Linked DNA regions of Mus musculus. The protein of the gene in region 1 interacts with the protein of each later gene in a pairwise test. Links are inferred from orthologs where the notes say so. Each region holds a gene or a part of one and is shown in the gene's direction. Other genes may lie near its edges.

What was found.
Region 2: the proteins of Gramd3 (region 1) and Cd207 interact in binary tests that used the Homo sapiens proteins (3 or more experiments, as listed by UniProt). The two-hybrid records come from large-scale screens. The link is inferred for Mus musculus from reciprocal best matches to the Homo sapiens genes GRAMD2B and CD207.
Region 3: the proteins of Gramd3 (region 1) and Tmem43 interact in binary tests that used the Homo sapiens proteins (3 or more experiments, as listed by UniProt). The two-hybrid records come from large-scale screens. The link is inferred for Mus musculus from reciprocal best matches to the Homo sapiens genes GRAMD2B and TMEM43.

What each region holds. Positions count from the first base shown.
Region 1 is NC_000084.6:56,430,661-56,434,967, forward strand, and holds the start of Gramd3 (GRAM domain-containing protein 2B), read left to right. Parts: upstream 1-1,471; 5' UTR 1,472-1,614; coding exon 1,615-1,697; intron 1,698-4,307.
Region 2 is NC_000072.6:83,674,975-83,679,145, reverse strand, and holds the start of Cd207 (C-type lectin domain family 4 member K), read left to right. Parts: upstream 1-1,288; 5' UTR 1,289-1,346; coding exon 1,347-1,428; intron 1,429-1,520; coding exon 1,521-1,637; intron 1,638-3,198; coding exon 3,199-3,573; intron 3,574-4,171. UniProt on the Homo sapiens protein: Calcium-dependent lectin displaying mannose-binding specificity. Induces the formation of Birbeck granules (BGs); is a potent regulator of membrane superimposition and zippering.
Region 3 is NC_000072.6:91,472,097-91,476,589, forward strand, and holds the start of Tmem43 (transmembrane protein 43), read left to right. Parts: upstream 1-1,610; 5' UTR 1,611-1,790; coding exon 1,791-1,802; intron 1,803-4,493. Other genes in the region: Chchd4 (mitochondrial intermembrane space import and assembly protein 40), read right to left, coding at 1,220-1,241. UniProt on the Homo sapiens protein: May have an important role in maintaining nuclear envelope structure by organizing protein complexes at the inner nuclear membrane. Required for retaining emerin at the inner nuclear membrane.

The sequences.
Region 1 (4,307 bases):
AAGTTACAGGTTTTCTAACTCTGTCGGTAGTCTCTTTGGGTTTGGTGATGGATAAGCGCATAAAACATATTACACACTGAAAGTGTAAAATTGAATGTGGAGTTTCAGAGCTTCTGTTCCAAATGCCAGTTCTTTTTTCAAGACAGGGTTTCTCTGTGTAACCCTGGCTGCTGTGGAACTTGCTCTGTAGTCTAGTCTGGCCTGGAACCCAGAGATCCACCTGCCTCTGCTGGGACTAAAGGCATGCACCACTCATACCCAGCCAGAATGCCAGCTCTAGCTGCAGAGAAGTTTACTGAGTTGTATAGAGTTTGGTTCTGGTTACTTTCTGTGTGCGATGTTATTTATTTGCAATTTATATAATAGAGTTTATAAGATTAGAAAAGACAAGAGCTGGAAGAATAAACAAATTAGCTTGGTGATGTAATTAAAAATGTACCAAGTAAAATAATGCAGGGCACTTACTCCTTATGCTACTTTACCCACAACCCACCTCTATGACTCCCCCCCCCCCCGCGCGCGCGCACGCACACACACACACACACACACACACACACACCCCTCCTCTGCCTTTCAGAAGTCCTAGTCAGCGATGCTGAAGAATGAGTGTTTGAGCGCTCTTTAACTCAGCTGTAAGGGTTACCCAGGATACTCACCCTACTCATGCATCAAAACAGCCTGATCATGGCTTTGCAGAAAGTTAAACACAGAGCGCCACGTGACCCAGCAAGTCTACTTTTAGATAAGCATCCAAAGGAATGGAAGCAGGGAGTTGAACAGACACTTGGACACCGGTTCACAGTAGCATCATTCAGAACGGCGGAAGGTGGGACTTGCCCAAGTGTCCATCCGTGGAGAAATAAAAACACAACATCTACTATGGAAGATGTATATGTGGTAATGGAATATTATTCAGCCAAACCACGCCCAGCCAAGATAGCTAAGGAAGTTTGGATAATTGTTTTACTGCCTCTTCCATCTCTTTCCCACTGAAGAACTAGAAGGGATTAACTTGGTGAATATTCATTCCCTTTGTCCCTACCTGACAAACCGAGGGGCTCTATTGTTAGCTCGGAGAGACGGTCTTCAGTGAGATCAGACTCCATGTGCAAAATTTAGGCGAGGAAGTGGGCCGGTCCTCAGGGCACTAGTGTGAGCCACCACCACACAATGCGGTTCACTTCCTGCACCGCAGCTCCCGGCTACCCCGGCTTACTCCCCCACCCCACCCCCGCCCCTAATACTCGCTGGGTTGGAGAGACTGAGAGGACCTAGAACAGCAGGCGGCTACTGTGTTGTGTCTTAGGCAAATGTTTCGACTGCTTGGCCAATTAGCGTCCTCTCCCAGAAAGACGGGTTCAACAGGTTTCCAATTGCTCCTCCTCTGTCTCGTGGGTTGGGGAAAAGGGCTGTCACTTTGCTTCGACCCTCCCCTTCCCACCCTCTGGTCTCTCCCAGCCCAGCTCGGACCAATCGCGCCGGCTCCAACGTGTCCATGTTGGCGGCCCGGGAGCACCGCCGCCTGGATGCGCAGCGCTAGGGTGCCGGAGAGCTGGGAGCCGGGAGCCCCGAATAGGGAGCCGAGTGCTGGGGTACGCCCGGGACGCGGCCCCGATGACCGAGCTCCAGCAAGAGGTGGAGGACGCCAAGCCAGCCAAAGTGCTCACCAAGAGAGAAGGCAAAGTTGGCCCGGCCCAGTAAGTGACCTCTACTGGACGCGACGCGCCCAGACCGAATTGTTAGCCTGAGTTCAGACTGGGAAAGGCTTTCTGAACTTCTGTAGAGACAGCCCTTATATATATCTTAATCTCTCTGTCTCTGTCTTTGTCTCTCTGTGTCTGTCTCTTTCTCTGTCTCTCTGTCTCTGCCTCTCCCCCTACCCCCCCGCCTTGTGTGTGTCCGTGTGTCCGTGTGTGTCCATGTATCCCTCCCTCTCTCCCTTCGTCTCCAGCTTTTTCTTTCCCTCTCTCCGTTCCTGCCTCCTCCCTTCCTCTCCTCACCGAAGAATGCATTGTCTATCCGGCAATCCGGTGATGATGAGAATTATTGGATCCGAAATTATAGTTGATGTTTCCTAATTCCCCAGGGAGGTTTAGGGAAACTCGTCAAATCTTGGAGCCATGTCAAAAGTCCGTGCTAAAATTTGCTCAGTCCTCCTATTTAAATCTGAATGACATCTGGGGAGATCCAGGCGCCCTTGGTTATTGGAGCTCATCTGTTGATCACTTTCACAATGATGTGTATTTAATTTGACTCAGAGCTCGGGGTCAGCTCTCCTCATTTTTCCCCACTGTTTCCACCTAAGAGAGAAGTAGTCGGAAGCAAGCATCCTTTATCCTCCCCTCAAAGTCTGTGCCCTTACACACACACACACACACACACACACACACACACACACACACACACACCGCTACCACCACCACCATATGGTTGTGTCTGTCCTCTTAAAGCATTTATGTGCACATTAGATTTGCACATTATCTGACCTATACCATCTTCTAACCGAAAACAAAGTTTCCCATCACAAGTATTTACATCCTGTAAGGAAACTCTTTCCTTTCTATTGCTACTTGGAACACTTGTTTAATAGCCCAGAGGTATGGTTTTTAAACGGTTGCTATTCTTGTTCCTCTTTTTAAAAGCAAAAAACCCTTTGACTCGTTGCTGACTTGCTCTGTTACCACATCACTGAAACATTAACCCATGGCACAGTCAATATCTAAATAAGCCTGCTTTGATTTCACAGTATTAAGTTGTTAGAGAGCCCACAATGCTTTATTGATACTACAGTTTCTAATAGTGAAGACTCGTTCTCTGTTACCATTATTTCATGCTTCGGGCATTTTGTTGTTGTTTTGTTTGTGGATCACAGCTTTGTCCCACATGAGGACTGCATCCTTGACTGCAGATTCTCCATTAGCATTTCTCAACCTATAGGTTATGACTCCATTTGGGGTCCAAGGTCCCTGTCACAGAGGTGGTCTAAAACATTGGGAAAACACAGATATTTACATTCTAACTCTTAACGATAGCAAAATTACAGTTATGAAGTAGCAACAAAATAATGTTATGGTTGGGTTCATCCCAAAATGAGGAACTGTATTAAAGGGTCGCAGCATTAGGAAGGTTGAGAACCACTACTGTGGACTCTGTCAATTGAGTTTATATGGAAATTTGGGAAGAAGATAGGTCAGTTGTTTTGATCTGTGCTTTCAAGGCTGTGGCCATATTCTCTCCTGGGTCTCTGACCTTCTGACAGCTCTTTGCTGTCCAGTGTCCAGCATCTTAAACTAGCATCTCTCATCCTTCACTTGGTCATACCAAAAGGTCGAAAAGTGTTATATTTCCCACTCGTTATGATGAAGGAACAATGTTCCCAGAAGTAAAACTCCCGTAAAAATTGGTTTCGTGCCACCGAATAAAATCCAACTGTATAATAATTCAGATCTATAACCGGGCATGATGGCACATGCCTTCAATCCTAGCAGTTGGGAGGCAGAAGCAGGAGACTCTTCATGAGTTTGAGCCCGATCTTATCTACATAGCAAGTTCCAGGACAGCCAGGATTACATAGAAAGACCTTGGCTCAAAAAAAAAAATCTAAGAAAAAAATGGACTATTAAATAATACCTGTTTCCTTTGCTCTTTATCATCTTTCTACATACTCTATTTCTCTGAAGAAAACTCAGTATGGATAGTCCTTTTACCGTGTTATAGACATTGTCTGTGGCTGGAGCCCTGAGGGTCAGAAGCAGGACTAGAGAGCCAGGGTCTTGAAACTTGTAGTCTTAGACTAACCCAAGGGAGTCTACTTCCAGTTACACAAAGTAGGATGACTCAAGTCTACCAAACAGCTGCCGAGCTTTGGCATCTTTGTGTCCTAGATGTCTAGATCCTCAGAAAAGGCCATGCTTTGGTTTGTTTGAAAACTCTATGATAGCATTGATGCAAGTTTCGTTCATTCAAAGCTTAGACCTTAGGGAAATACTGGGCACCCTGAAGCTCTGATACATTCTTTCATTTGGAATCCCTGAAGCTCATAGCTCTGATACAGTCTTTCATTTGGACTCTTCCCTGTCACCAATTGCTTTCAGTTCAACAAATACTGTGCTACCTACATGTACAATCATGGTGTTGAGTTCAAGGATATATGTGGTTTTGTGTCTGTCCTTCTGAAACCCGAAAGAACTGTGGGCCAGACTGGGCACAAAAGTGGCCATTGCCACATTAAGTGCACAAGGTACCATACAAAGTTTGATCTCTAACCAAATCTTCCCCGTGGTTATGATATTTGCCTATTGCCGTCT
Region 2 (4,171 bases), on another chromosome or scaffold:
CCATCCATCCATCCATCCATCCATCCATCCATCATCCATCCATCTATCCATTCTTCCTTCCTCCCTCCCTCCCTCCCTCCCTCCCTCCCTCCCTCCCTCCCTCCCTCCCTCCCTCCCTCCCTCCCTCCCTTCCTTCCTTCCTTCCTTCCTTCCTTCCTTCCTTCCATCCAATTATCTGTGCCAGTTCCTTCATCTTCTCCCTGTTCTTTTTCTTCTTTCCTCTTCACCCTTCTCTCTTTCCTACCTTCTGAGGAATATTTGTTTAGAGCCTGGACAACATTCTTAGATATAGCAGGCTTCTTCAAAGCAAAACACTTCTCAGGAGAAAACTTACTCATTCACTGAGTTCCCGATCAGCTCCTCTGAACCTTGAGTACCCTCTACATAAGTCCTTATCTTTTGAAAATAGGGTCCCTCACTGAATCTAGAGATCACTCTTTGCTGGTCTGGTTGGCCAGTGATCTCCTGAGATGCTCTTGTTTGCCTCCCTAGCCTGGTTGTATAGGTGCCAGCTGATGTACCTGGCTTTGACATGGGTGCTGGAGATCTGAACAGCTCCTGTTTATATGGCAAGCACTTTACTGACTGAACTACCTCCCTATACCCTCAGAGTGCTCTTTCTTGTCCTCAAGTCCCCTGCCTGAACTCACAAGGAGATAAAGCTCCTTAAGATGCTTCAAAAGGACCCTTATTGCCTGATACCAGATGGTTCTTTAGACCCTTGCCCACCTCCTGTCACATATTACACATGTATACAGGACTGGAGCTATCTACAGGTTCCCTAGTGTCCTATTAGCCTTATTTCCCACACCCTGAGTGTGCCCATCCCTTAACCCTGAGTGTACCCATCCCTCAGTCAGCACTCTACCACATTCTCCCTGTATGTACTTTGACAGTGCATATTCATTCACCACCATGTTCTTCATCTTGTACTGTAATTTACTTGCTTGGGCTGCATTTTCCTGTCAGGTGTCAAGCTGCTGAGTGAGAAGACTGAGAAGTTCATCTCTGGGGTCCTGGGTTGAGCTCTTAGAAGGCACTCAATGTACATTTGTAGGGTGGGTGGATAGATGATGGATGGATGATAGATGAAGGACTCTTTACAAGAATAGAAGAGTCTTCAGATAAGATGATTAAAATGTCTGTGTACCAGGGAAGAAGTCAGGAGGCTTCCTCATCAAAGCCCAAATCTTAGTCAAAAGGATGAAGCTGTGGCCTCTGCCAGGCAAATCGTCTAAGCCAAGAACAGGGAACTTGGGCATGACAAAGTGGCCTGCTTTTTGACTCATTTCCCGTTTCTTTCTGGATAAAAAGGTCCTTGGGGAGACAGATATTGAGAATTTCCTATGCCAGAGGCAGAGATGAAGGAGGAGGCTCCCGAAGCGCACTTCACAGTGGACAAACAGAACATCTCTCTCTGGCCTCGAGGCAAGTACCAGCTACTGCTCCATGCCCACTTGGTGCTTCTGCCCACAACTGCTCTTCACTGATCCTTAACAGACCTCTCTGTCCCCTTCCAGAGCCTCCTCCCAAGCAAGATCTGTCTCCAGTTCTAAGGAAACCTCTCTGTATCTGCGTGGCCTTCACCTGCCTGGCATTGGTGCTGGTCACCTCCATTGTGCTTCAGGCTGTTTTCTGTAAGTCAACTGGTCCCTGGGGATCCAAACCTTTTGGCTACAGTCCTTGGTGTCTCGGGTCTGTGACATTTTAGGAACTTTCCTGATGTTTCTAGAAGCTGGCCTGCTATCCCTTCTGTACTGGGTTCTAGGAGGACCTTATAACTGGCATTAGAAAATGTCTGTTCTCAGGGTACTCTTCTGTCTTCAAGAAACAATCACTAAGCTTTTTATCTCTGCCTTTGACTCCCTTAGACTCCTGTCACTCACAGCTCCCAGATTGTTGGATTCAAAGCTTTGTTGCTAGCTCCCAACAGGGAGCTTGATGTCTCCTGATCTCACTAGGTATTTACTCGGTACTATACTAGTTCTGCGCTGAACCGAGCCAGCAAACCTCCCAGTCTCTGCACTCCTTTGTCCAGGCAAAGAGTATGTCCATACTTGGAGCCTTCTTATTCCTCTTCTAGAAGCTTCTTGGCCTCTGCTGAAATCATACCTCTCTTCCTTCTGCTCTAGAGAGCCCAGGGAAAAATGTCTTTTCTTTTTATGATCTACATGCATGGTCTCCTGGACATCACTGACCTTGATCTTATCCTAGACCACTAGTCTTGTCTCTTCTCTTATCTCCCACCTCTCTCCTTTTGTTTGTGGCCCTGCCTAGCTTGGAACCCAGTAGATCAGGCCTGCCTGGAACTCACTGAGATTCACTCGCCTTTGCCTCCTGAGTGCTGGGAGTAAAGGTGTGTCCACCAGGCCCTTCTAACACTTCCTTTCTCATAGGACTCTCTTAAAAATATCATTTTATTGTATATATGTATATGAGTGTTTTGCTTGCCTGTTTGTGCACCACATGCCCTGGTGCCCTAAGAGTGAAGAGTGCATTGGACTTCACTAGAACTGAAGTCATAGTCAAGAGTTATAGTCAAGAGCTGTCATATATGCTGGGAAGTAAACCAAGGTATTCTGCAAGGATAAGTGTTCTTCCTGCTGAGTCATCTTCCATCCCATAGGACTCCTTTGACAGTTATTGGTTAGTTTTGGCTCCTGTGCCAATGATCTTAGTAGAGTATGAGAGATAGGGCCAAGGAAGGGCAGAAAGAGCTTCATGCCCCTCCCGTATGCTCTGGAGTCTACATGTATATGGCCCCACTCATGGCCATAAAGCAGGCTGTGGGCAGACAAGGGACGGGTGTGCTTCCCTAGCTGGTGGTGGGGTCTTTGACAGGAGATGGCTGGGGACTAACTCATAGACTGAGAGAGGACCCAGAGATGGAGTGATGAGGCAGTGACTAAGGGAACCCCCTTTACCAAGTTCACCCAGACCACACTAAGGAATTTCAGGTTTGGGATCTCCCTCTGCTTCTTCATGAGGACTCTTGGTCTCCTCACTGCCTGTGCCAACCAGCGTTCATGATGTGTGGTAGCCCCTAATGCATACTTGCTGCATATTGATGAATGGATGGAGAGTGGGTGGCAGTTCCTTGGACTGTCTTGATCCTGCAGCTTCTCCTTCCTTTGGACAACACTCCATCTCCATGGCTCAGGAACCCCTCAGCTGACCCCTTGACTGTCTCAAATCTAGATCCTAGGTTGATGGGCAAAATATTGGATGTGAAGAGTGATGCCCAGATGTTGAAAGGTCGTGTGGACAACATCAGCACCCTGGGTTCTGATCTTAAGACTGAAAGAGGTCGTGTGGACGATGCTGAGGTTCAGATGCAGATAGTGAACACCACCCTCAAGAGGGTGCGTTCTCAGATCCTGTCTTTGGAAACCAGCATGAAGATAGCCAATGATCAGCTCCAGATATTAACAATGAGCTGGGGAGAGGTTGACAGTCTCAGTGCCAAAATCCCAGAACTGAAAAGAGATCTGGATAAAGCCAGCGCCTTGAACACAAAGGTCCAAGGACTACAGAACAGCTTGGAGAATGTCAACAAGCTGCTCAAACAACAGAGTAAGTAAATGAGATCAGCCTGCAGGCTGACCAGGGGCCGCGAGCCCCTACCTGTTTTGAGCAGTAGTTTGGGTCTCTACACTAAGGTGCAGAATGTAGAAGCATTGGGAGTCTAGTCTGCCCTGGCATTCTGTGTGGCCTGAAAAAAACCACATACTTGGTTTGGAGTGAGTGAGTTTATTAAATATGTAGTGAGCTAAAAATAAAAGAATAAACAGGGGCTGGAGAGATGGCTCAGCAGTTAAGAGCACTGGCTGCTCTTCCAAAGGTACTGAGTTCAATTCCCAGCAACCACATGGTGGCTCACAACTATCTGTAGTGGGGTCTGATGCCTTCTTCTGGTGTGTCTGAAAACAGCTACAGTGTACTCATATACATATAATAAATAAATCTATCTTAAAAAAGAATAGACAACAAATGATGGATGAATAAATGATTGATAGACACAGAGAGACAGATAGATAGGTGATAGATTGATATAGCAAAACGTCAAATTGGGCATTAAAGCCTCTAGCAGAAACCCACTGAGGAAGGCCCACTGAGGCCTTCTGATGGATTTTCTGACAGAGTCCCTGAGGAGCAGAGGATCACTTAGGGT
Region 3 (4,493 bases), on another chromosome or scaffold:
GCTCTATGTTGCATTAGCAGCTGATGGACCCATCCTCCTTCCTGAAAAACCCGAGGTCTGTAAATCCATCAAGAGGGGTAGAAATGTTTATCTGCATAGCCTCCTTAACTCAAAGACTCGTCATCAACCTACCAACTAGGTTGGAGGAAACAAAAGTCATCCTAGGAATCCGCCTAACAGTGCTGGGTCAAGGACTTTCGTATGCGGAACACCAAGTGCTAACCAACAGAAACAGTCCTCGGGAGAGGCACCAATGATGATGCTGGGAAGGAGGGGGTTCTACAGCGGACTGGGGCCTTCTAACTGGATGTATGGCCTTGGGTGGATCACTTCCTCCTTTGTACCTCATGTTCTCTAGACTTAAGAGTAAAGGAGCTGAGAATTCTGGGTGAACCAAGTCTCTCTGTAGCTTTGTATTCTCAAGAGCCCTCCAACTCTTTCCTGCCTTGGGCACGTGCTTCGTGAATACCAGAGTAAATGACGCCTGATCTCTCAATTTACAGGAGTGGAAACTAGGGCCTGGCGGGTTTGGCAGCTCAGACATAAGAAGCCAGTCAGTGCTGGGAGACCTTAGAGCAACAGATTGGTCTGGATTCTTCTGGGTTGCTGCTTACAGGTAACAACAGGTAGTGAGTGGTCCTCAACGTGGCTAGAAATGACGGAAGAAAGGAAGCTCTTTCATAGCGGGTCCCGGTTTCGTGACCTGATGTGGGTTCCTGGATCGAGTAACCTGTCTTAATTTTCCGTTTGATAAGACGTGGACAGTAAGGGAACCCGACATATAAAAATGGCTACGTTAAGTTTAAAAGCGTGCCTAGTACACAGAAGGCGCTCACTAAATGCTCCTGCCAGATGCACTTCAGCACGCCCACTCTAGCCCAAGCGGTAATTTTTCGGGATAGCTAAAAAGCCTGGGCGGGATAGAACCACGTGGGGAGTGCTAGGAGCGACGGTGTCTAATTCCTAACAGTCCCCGATTCCCAGCCAGAGACAACGTGCTCCACACTGGCCAGGCCCACGTGAGGCCCTCCGAGGCCCGGGTTCGGGCTTCACCTTGACCTTGGACCGGCCTCGTTCCTCACGGAGCCTCTGCCTCTCTCGTCTGGAAACCGCCGCGTGAGGCCCACTAAAGGGCCCACAGCCGCTCGGTGGAGACCACTTGATCGCGTGTCTCTCGCAGGCCCGTCCCGGCCGGTCTCCATGGCAGCGCCCGACTCACCTTCCTGCCGGCAGTAGGACATGGTTGTTCCCGACAGTCCTCTGCAGCTCGCAGAGGCAGCGGGCGCGGCTGGAGCGGATACACCTTCTCGCCGTGACCTCCCTCGCCGCTTCTCAGGCCTGGCGGGTGGCACTGAGGCCCGCACAGACCCGCCCCCTCCAGGCCTGCCCGCCGCGCGCCTGCCTCCGCGCGTCCTAAGCACCAGAACCGCTTCTCAGTCGAAAACTACACTGACCAGCAGCCCTTGCGCCTCTCCAACTAGACCGATACTACATTTCCCAGAAATCTTGCAGCGCGCACGCGCACCAGTGAAATACAGTGGTTTGTAATTTTGTGGCGAACGTGTCAGACGTCGGACTACATTTCCCAGCAGCCCTTAAGATGCGCACGCGCAGACAACTTGAGGCTTAGGCAGGGCGGTAACTTTTGTCCTGCGTCCCGCCAGGTCCTGGATTCCACGAGAAGTCTTGCAGCTCTGTGGCAGACAGGAGGTCACCGTATTCTGCGTTCCGGTCGTCAGCCCAATTCCTAGCGGAATAGAGCAAGACGGCGGCAGCGAACCAAGCCCACCATGGCAGCGAACGTAAGTGCTTCCTGATGCCCGGGTGACACCATCATCCGGGCCGCTTTTTCCCTGGATCCGCGCTGGGTCTTACAGGGGTGCTACCCCAGTGGGTGCAGCTGCCCTCAGCTCTCTGAGCTTCTCCATCTCGGGCTGCGCGTTTGTGGGCCTCAGCAATTAGTCGAGTCCGCTCGTGCACGGCTGCTTCTTCCACTCCTAGTTTCTCTCTGGGCCCCTGGGGATACGAAACTTGGGGAACTTGGGGAACTGAAGGACCACGGGGAAAGTGTCTATTGGTGAGCAGACTGATGAGGTGATCCTGCCCAGGTGGAACTGTCCAGCAAATGCTTCTTTGGTCTTCGCTCCCTAGGGGGTGTGTACTCAAAGGCTGTGTGATGCTACTGTAGCTGGACTAGCCTGGCTGGATGACGTGGAGAGGGAGACTTTTCTCTGCTGCCGGGTTCCTGGTGCACTGATTTGGTTAGAGCCCCTAGCTGAGGATAGTTCACCCAGACCTCTGGCCTCTTCCTACTGCAACTAGTCCTTAAGAATTTTCCTAGTGAATCTTAACATTCATTCAACAAACGGAGCAACACCACCTACTAGGGGACTGGGTGTGGGAGAAGCCGGTGAGTCACCAGTGCCTCTGGTGAAAGCGCCTCTGAAGCCATCTCAGGAGCACTGCCAGCCCCAGGCACACCCTTACTCCCTCCTTGGTAGAGTGTCACTACAGCCCTCCTTGGGCCTGTTACACCCTCTTCCCAGGCCCCTCCTCAGTCCGGCAGACTTCACCTCCTGGGAGGCCGGAGTTTGTTTCACCCACTGTGCAAGCAATATCTGTTTGGCATATTGTCTGGCCCTGGCAGGGGAAGAGAACCAAAGGTTAGGAATGCTGCACTGGAGCCAGAGGAGAAGGCAACCAGCAGGCCAGCCTGGCAAGAGCAGGCAGACCCCTTCTGATCCATCTCATCAGCGTCATATCTCACCGTTCCCCAGAAGAAGACACCTGCTTGGGGGCTCGTAGCCAGCTTGGCATGCTACATCCCCAGCCTGGGAAGGTGCTGATGAGGGCAGACTTTGGAGACAAGCCCGGAGGCAAATCCAGATTCTTCTACTCTAACTCCTTTGGGTTTACTCTCTCATGGGATCAGTTACTTTGAAATTTGAGGAAGGTTGCTGGGCACAGAGCCTGGTACATGGGAGGTACTTAATCCTTGAAAAAGTTACTCTTAGAGGCTAGCCCACACAGTCTTGGTAGGCAGAGACCATCTTGGATTCTCACACTAACAAACATAGACACAATGGGATATCTTCAGATGTCTTTGTCCATTTATTGTTATATTACTTTCCTGGGAAGACTTGAGCTTTTATTAATGTCAGCAGGATAGCCATAGACCAACTCCATCTTGGTGAACCAAAGAGGTTATCTTGGGTGACTGATGGAGGTGTGTGCCGTCCCTTCTGTTAGCCCCCTGTCTCCTGTATCCTCTAGCAGTACTGTACACTGCTGGGGGTGTGACATAGGAGGAGGTGAGAGGCTAGAATCTCAGGTGATGGTATAAAGATCCTCGTCCACTCTTCCAGGGAACATGCCTGATCATGTGAGGGGTTCATCTAAGCTATTTGGGTCTCAATATGACCATGGCTGTGTCATGCCTAGAGACAATACCAAAGCATCCATACTGTAGCTGAGTCACCAGGCAGGGTAAGCAAGAAAAATCTTAAGACAGTGAGTGGAACAAAAGCTCCTGAGTTCAGTATAACAACTTTCCTGTCAGGTAGGTATTATCACCAGCAAGTGAGGAGTCAGGACCAGAGAGGTGGAGCACATGTTGCCAGGTTCCAAAGCAACAGAGCTAGGATTCCAACCCTGGTGTGCCAATATCCAGGCCCAGTATGTTCCCACCCATTGATTCATCATTTATTGATTCTCAGCCCAGTATGCTGGAAGTGGAATGTGTTACTTAGGATACATAAGTGTACATATACACAGGTATATACATATAGATGCTATTTCCCACCTCACCTCTCTCCCAGCTGGAGGAACATCTTCCTGGCCTCCCTTCCTTCCTGGCCTTAAGGGGAGCCAGCAGGAACACAGGACTTTTTTTTTTCCATTCTTCAGCTTCAATTTCAGCTAAGTGATGAAGAAGACAGTCTAGGGTAGAGGGGCCTGCCTGAGTTGAACATCTACTCAGTACTTACAAGTTATTGATCCAGGCAGATAACCTAAGCAGAGTCTCGAATTCTTCATCTGTGAAATGGGTATTAGTAGTCTCTTTACCGTTGAGCCAGCCCATGGTTGGCCTGTAACAAATGAATATGCTATTGTGGGCATCCTGCTGGCTGAGATTGTCTTCTTGTCTGCAACAGTTGTCTCAACTGAGTTTTATATGGTATTGTTCTGGATACAGTGGGTGTCCTCAGCAGGCCTGAGCCAACAGTGGAGAGCAGCCAGAAGAAGTGGCATTTGATATGCTCAAGGATTCTGTCTCAAATCCATCCTTGGATACTGGGCAGGAAGGGGCCTGGCTCTCTGAGGTACCTGCCAGGTGACCACTTTGTATCTCTGTGACTTTCATCCACACCCACAGTCTGGGTGGCAGCTCTAGTTTCAGTTATGGAGAAATCTGATAATGTTCCTATTAGCTGTAACTCCCACAGGTGCCTATGAGGCCCCAGCACTGAGCCACCACCCCAAGCTTGGGATTT